Drosophila melanogaster: one gene and its partner. The protein of the gene in region 2 interacts with the protein of the main gene of each other region in a pairwise test. Each region holds a gene or a part of one and is shown on either strand. Other genes may lie near its edges.

Region 1 (3,362 bases), on a different chromosome or scaffold from region 2:
TGTGCCAGATGGACTAGGATATTTTCTATTGATCCCTTATGAAGGTCCTGCCAAAGTTGATGACACTGCTCACGAATCCGAGCATGGAGGTGATCATGGAGTGGGCGTGCTTGGAGCTCTCCGTGGTTTCACCCTTGTCGCTTCTGCTGGGCCTTCTCACTTCTTTCCGACTTCCCGACGGTGATTCTTCGGTGGCAAAAAGACGATCGAACCTGAGGATGGGTTTCTTGAACCATTCGCCGCTGATCTCGTTGTTCCGTTCGTCATCCTCCTGGCTGAATCTATCGAATGGCAGGGCGTTGACTTGAAAGAAAATGCAGTTAGGTTTAAAATAATGTCATGATACCAGATGATCCAGTGACTCACTTGTCTGCATGACGAGACATCCGATAAGGAAGAGCAAAACCATCTTGCTTTCTGAGGTCATTTTGATTGTACTTTTCGCACTAGCCGGAGATTGATAACTGACTGAATCGAATGCCAGAGAGTTCATATTTTATAGACGCCAGCCGACGTCGGATGTCGCCCCACATTCTACGTGATAGAATGGAAAGTAACGATGCGCACGTTTCACCCAAGTAATTGCTTTATTTTACGCTTGTACATTTTGCCTAAGCTTAGAACTACATAGCCATAACCCTGAATACGACATAAAAAGTGGCACTCCACACAGAACCACAAATCAATTGTGGGCGTTGGGTGTCTCCAGCCTTTCAGATTTGCACTTCAAGGTCTTCGGGTATTCCGATCGTAGGCACTATCCAATTCTGCATCCGCATCTCGCTCATCAGGCACCGGGGGCTTTTGTCGATATCGATCCTCGAGTTCCTTACGTGAAAGTTGCGGACTCGGTGCTCCAGCACTCCAACCGATCACTGCAAAAATTCGGACACAGGTAATTGCATTTGATGCATAACATTTTTAGTTAATAACACTAACCGCAGATAACTAGCAGACATATCAGATAGAACTTAAGCGACGCGCTTCTCATGGCTGTGCTGGGATTGATTCGATTGATGGGCATTAACTGACAAGCAAAATTCGGTTGGGTCCACTTTTTATATGTGCAAGTGTGCCAGTCTGGAGCTCTTCACTGATTGGCGTTGAAGGAGGAGGCCAATGGGCATTGGCGCCGCGGCGAGAGATTATGCAAAGCACCCGTCGAAGACCCAAAAATAACGCAAAGAAAAAAAACTCAAATATAAAAAAAGATCACAAAAAATCCGAATTAAGATTCGTATAAAAGGCTCGAGGCGTCGTTCTGTCTCACTGAGTGGGAAAAAACGCTGCTGGGCATCGGTTACCTCCTACCGGTCTTTGACGTAGTCAACGTCGCCTGGCACGTGAATGGCCCGTTGCGCGTTGATTGATTGTTTATTGAAATGCTACCTAATGAACTTACACGTATGTCGTCGGCGATTAGCCAAGTCTTCACTCACTCTTTCTGGTGGCCAAAGAAGAGCGTCCTGAGTTCGTAGAGAGGGCTTCCTCTGTCTTGAAGAATGTATACTGATATTTATACCCACAAATTCTCTTATTTATACGCTGTTTTCTTTCCCCTTTTCTGGTTGTTGAAATTAAACCAAAACATTTCAATCATGCGGGACTAATTTCATATTATGTAAAAATACTCTAGAAATGAGAAAAAAATTTAATTTGAAAACAGATAAATTCTGTTATATAAGCGTAATGCAGCAAATTTTCGCACTTTCAATTAGAATTAATTCTCATGCCCGAAGAAAATGGTCCAGCGTTCGTATGTGGGTGAAATCTCACAGAGATACGATTCCATTGAGCAATATTCCTCATTAAAGTCGGTGAAATCTGAAATGAAATAATTTAATAATATGCGAGATTAAAGTTTAATAATCGGACTTACTTTTTCCTTCATGGCAAAATGCTATATCCAAATGACACTTGGATGGAAATTTTCGTATACAACCCATTTCCTCATCCAATCCGCAAATGGAACTTGTCTCATTCACCGTACCACAATTTGTTTCCACTTGGCACGGTTTTGGAGGAATATTCGCTCCAAGGGAACATGCTGTTTTTAGAAAGGACATCTTTACAAAGTCACTACTTACTATAACTTAAAAAATCTCACCCAGACATATTATGAAAATGCCAACTGCGTTCATTCTGGAAAACTAATACCTTTCGCTATGAAATGAAAAATAGCAATGCGGCAACTAATTAAGATCGGCGTGAATAAAAATAAACGGTTAGGCTTACTATCCTATCTTATCACAAATTTAAACAACGATGAACGAATTTTGCCATATTAAAAGATAAGATAAAACACAAGCACCGTAAATTGAATTAAGGTACCGATACATGTCACAATAATTTGTGATATAGATTGATCCCACACCTCAAACTTTTGTTTTGCCATCCTGCTAAAGTGAAAAAGTTTAAGATAATTCTTTATCTATATGTTCATTTATTTAACAACTATTTTGCTTATGGCCAAATTAGATTGGTTTTTGTCCCAACTAACAGCTAAGAAAAATTCACTGCATACTTTCGTGCCTCATTGTGGTACTAGAAAAATGTTTTCCAACTTAATTTTAATGATTTCTTTTGGTCTTTCCGTAGTCTTTTCAAGAGGCTTTCGTCTGACAGCGATAGAGCTTGGAATAAATGCCATTCTTGGCCAGAAGTTGGGAGTGAGATCCCTGCTCCACTATCTTTCCGGCTTGAATTACACAAATCACATTGGCATTTTGGATGGTGGACAGGCGATGGGCGATTACAATACATGTTCGTCCTGAACATGCCGAGTCCAAAGCTTGTTGAACCACCTGAAAAGGGGATACAAATATTTGATGAAAATTGTAGTAATTTAAGTTATAGTTTCTTACCCTTTCACTTTGGAAGTCCAGCGCAGAGGTGGCTTCATCCAGCAGAAGGATCTTGGGATTCCTTACCATCGCTCGAGCAATTGCAATTCTTTGCTTTTGCCCACCGGATAATTGGGTGCCCTTGGAACCCAAAACCGTATCATACTGAGCAGGCAGAGACATAATGAACTCATGAGCATTGGCCATTTTGGCCGCCTCAATTATTTGCTGCATGGGCACCTGTCGCGAGGTATCTCCATAGCCAATATTATCGGCGATAGACTTCTCGAAAAGTGAAGGTTCCTGGGACACAATGCCCAGGCGACGACGCAGAGTTTTTAGGTCCATGTCGTGGTGAATGCTCTCTTGATCTATGAGCTGAAAAGGAAAGAAAAGTTAATATCAAATATAATGCCTAATTTGATATAACTTCTTTTTAAAACTACTTACAATCTTGCCCTCATCGGGATCATAGTACCGCATCAATAGCTGAACGCATGTGGATTTTCCCGATCCCGA
Region 2 (3,759 bases):
GTGCACGAAATGACTACACTTTGGCCCAACACTTAGATAACCAATTAGGGTTAATCACTGAAAACGTTGCATAGACTATAGGGCACGACTCACGCCCCGCAATAACAACTTCCGACAAGCGTGAGTGATTAACAATCCCAACTGTTTTGGCAAGTGACGATTAGATTACCGTGATACGGATCGCTGATCATACGGATCAGAATGACACTCATTCAACTAGTTCAATATCGGTCATTCTCGAAGGTCGCTGCTGATAAGAACCCTCTATCGAGGGCATAAATCAGCTATGGGGAACTTTTTTTTTTTTAACCAATTCTCAAGACTTTGGTTGTGCAAATAATCAGACAGCTGCGAACTGAACTTAGCATTTGCCAATGGCTAAGTTTACGTTATTTTTGAATCTCCCTGTGGCGATTTATTAATGTCACTGTTATTCGCCCAAAATGAAATCTATGAGTCATCCGTTGCTTTAACCATCTCTTTTTTAAATGGTAATATTGCGTTTTTGAGCTCACATCTGCGGTTTTACTTCTTGTGTTTTGATAAATGAACGAACAATTTCCATAGCTGGAGGTGACAGTTGAATTGTTGAATATTTTTTGCAGTCAGGAAATTCGGCTGATGCCATCTAAATACATAGTCACAGACTAGAGTTAAAACAAAGGTTGACAGCTCGCAGATGTGACATTTCTTCGTACGAAATTCCTTATTTAAAAATGTAAATTAACCATTTCAATGAAATCTTTATATTAACTTAGATACAGATTTTTAATTGAATTCATTTTTGAAATGTATTCTCATTTTTTATGTTCATAGTGGAAAGATTATTCTTTTAGTCTGAATCCTTTATAAGAACCAACTTGAATCGTTTCAATAGTTTGGGTTTACTTTGTTTTACACGTAAGGATACATGATATCTTATTTAAATTATATTCCTATAAAAGCTGATATTCTTTTCGCACGATTTCAGTTGTTTACGATTCCAAAACTCAAAACCGTGATTTTTTATGGCTGGTTGCTGTGACAGCATCACTGCCCCCGTCGTTCTCTGTGTCATTTGCTTTCTTTGACCACCGGCACCGGACATACTCTTTTATAATATGTATTCGTGTGATTTAATTTTTGTTTTTGTTGTATTTTCGAATCGGGGATGCCCCTTGGTGGGATCGCTTTGATTTTTTTGGGGGAATCCCGCTGCAAATGCGGCTGGTATTAAATTGCTTTAGTCGGAGTGCCGAGATCGGATGGCTAGACAAATTAACAGCGTTTTATTTTCCGTCGTCGATTTATGGCGAACAAGCACATTCCATCTTCATCTTCATCTCGCTCTTAATCTGAATTAGTTTTTTTTTCTTTGTGTGCACACAGGTTTTTCGAGTCGAAAATTTCGGGGGATAACCGCCAGATGCGTTCTGGCGCCTCGTCCAAAGGAAGTCCAAATCACCGGACTCATTTTCTCCTCCAACCTCTACTTGTCTTATTTTATTTGCTGTTTATACTTGTGGCAAGGTAAACACGCAGACCACACCGCCCCCCCCCCTTCGCCCAGCATTGGAATATTTATTACACTTCAAAAAGGGGAAATTTCTCTCAAACGCTCTTGGAAATTGTTGAATTGTTTTCAGCAGCAAAATAGTTGCGGCGCTACTTACCACAACTTGTGGCCAGCTGTTGCTGCTCCAATTGCTCCGAGTCCATGAGGATTGCCAAGGAAGTTGGGCCAGAAGTGGAGACGGATCCAGACACCTTGTCGCCCATGTTGTTTGCCAATGTCTTTGACGCTAACTGAAATGAAGTCCGAAGTCTTAGAGGCAGTTTTCTATGTTCGTTGGCAACAAGGGGACCGTTGATTAGGTCTTGTAATCTTGAGTTGCTCTTCTTTCTTCGAGAGGTCCACCACTTGGAAGTTCTTAAATCCGCAGGTTAAATGAAAAATAAATACGTTTAACAATTATTTTCGTGTGCATGGGGTCGTCAATTTGATGGGCCCAAGCAGGTGGATATACAATGCTAATAAATATATTTTAACGACCCAGGTGTGCAAATCAGATAAACACACAGCGAAAAATGTTTCGTATATATCTGTACTCATTAATACGAGATGTTTGTTTAGAAAATGCATTAAGTCCTACAAAAATCCCCCAAATAAATCGGGTATACAATTAATATGCGATAAAAATCAATTGAATTATCACCGATCGAAAATCCCCGGTTAGAGCATTGCGCATTCGACTTTTGGCAGCTGGAAGCGCTGACCATTGTGCTCATAACTTACCATTCGACTGGCTGCCCGCTAATCGCACATCTTATCAGGGTATTAAGTGCCGCTCACTAACTACGCCTTGGCACGCTCTCCCAGTAAAAAATTTCGAGGGGGGGCAAAAATCACACGCAAAATCACAGGCCTTCTTTTATAACCCCCCCCCCCCCAGCACCAGCTCCAGCTCCAGGTGGTGGTGGGGTATTCACCCAGGTAAACATTATCGAGCCAGAAGCTTTACACTCTCGCACATTAGACAAATAAACGGGTGTCTCTGCGTTGGTTGGTTGGTTGGGGTTGTGTGTATTACAATTAACAAAAGTAATTGCACTCGTCTGGGAATCCCCGGGGCCACAATGAAAACTCTTTGATGGCGTTGGCCATGCAAGTGGGAGAGTCTATCTATATCTATCTATAGCGCAAAGTGAAACACACTATAATTTCCACGCGGATACTGACTGGCCGTCCTATCTGTTTTCAATATTTCATTTTCCCTATCGGAATAATCGCAATCGTTATAAATGGCTCCCGAGAGCCAACTGTGAATATCAGGCAATAATGAGAAGTAGTAATTTAATGATACGAATTCAAGGGCCGGGTTTTTTTTTTTCTCTTCCCCGTCGGCTGAAAGATAACGTTGGGGGTTTTTTTTTCATTTTAAAGTAACTGACCTTATTTAATTTTGGCATCAGATTTGGACTTAATGGAGTGCTTTTCGATCGTGATAGTAAGTGATACATTAATTTTCTCTGCGTGCACATTCATTTAGATATATATACATATGTATATGCCAACACCCCCAATTGAAATCTTCGGCTGTGCGAACAATTCATCAGATGTCGCCATATCATTGCCTGTGCTGATTAGTTACGCCTTGCTGGTTGGTATCCCCTCAAAATTGAGCATGGGGGGATACCAGGCGGTGGCGAAGGATACTGCTGCTGGTATCCTTGTAGCGGCACGCACATGCCATATATTAGGACGCATAAAATGACAAACGACTCGCGAGGCGCGTAAATTGAAAACTCGCTGAGCCTGTGCGAGATTGCCAGCGCAAAGGATCCGCGGGGCGAAATTGTGTAAGGGGCTGGGTGGGGGGTATTGGTCCTGAAATGGGTGGCGGGGAATTTGGATTTCGGCGACTTTTTGGCTGTTTGTTATTGCTGCCTGAGCTGTCTCACTCGCTAGCTGGCTGTCGGCCAAAACTTTGCCAAAGTATTCAAATTAAAATTTCAATTAAGGAAGTGAATTTGTGTGTGCCGAAAGTGTATTAAGTCTATACAGCGGTGGCATCTTGGCATTTCACTGCTTCTGTATTCCACGTGTGCCTCTCTTGCCACGCCCCACCCCCTCCTCAACCGCCCACTTTTGTATGCCCGCACAGAAGGCTAAAACCGAAGTGAACTGAACTGAGCTGAGCTGAACCGCATTCAGCTGAAGCTGTACCGCCTACAAACAGCGCTCGTCGCCTGTTGTTTGATTTATTGCCAAAGTTTGTC

What was found.
Region 1: the proteins of PGRP-LB (region 2) and BG642312 interact in a two-hybrid assay, tested with the Drosophila melanogaster proteins (one large-scale study listed by BioGRID).

What each region holds. Positions count from the first base shown.
Region 1 is NT_037436.4:6,231,898-6,235,259, forward strand, and holds BG642312 (BG642312), read right to left. Parts: upstream 1,485-3,362; 5' UTR 1,440-1,484; exon of another isoform or gene 1,403-1,439; intron 1,094-1,402; 5' UTR 1,025-1,093; coding exon 940-1,024; intron 876-939; coding exon 727-875; 3' UTR 572-726; downstream 1-571. Other genes in the region: CG13299 (uncharacterized protein), read right to left, coding at 26-303, 367-427; CG42714 (uncharacterized protein), read right to left, coding at 1,721-1,824, 1,880-2,047, 2,108-2,141; CG10226 (uncharacterized protein), read right to left, coding at 2,604-2,804, 2,865-3,221, 3,294-3,362.
Region 2 is NT_033777.3:11,458,795-11,462,553, forward strand, and holds the start of PGRP-LB (peptidoglycan recognition protein LB), read right to left. Parts: upstream 1,759-3,759; coding exon 1,653-1,758; intron 1-1,652. UniProt on the Drosophila melanogaster protein: N-acetylmuramyl-L-alanine amidase involved in innate immunity by degrading bacterial peptidoglycans (PGN). Probably plays a scavenger role by digesting biologically active PGN into biologically inactive fragments. Has no direct bacteriolytic activity.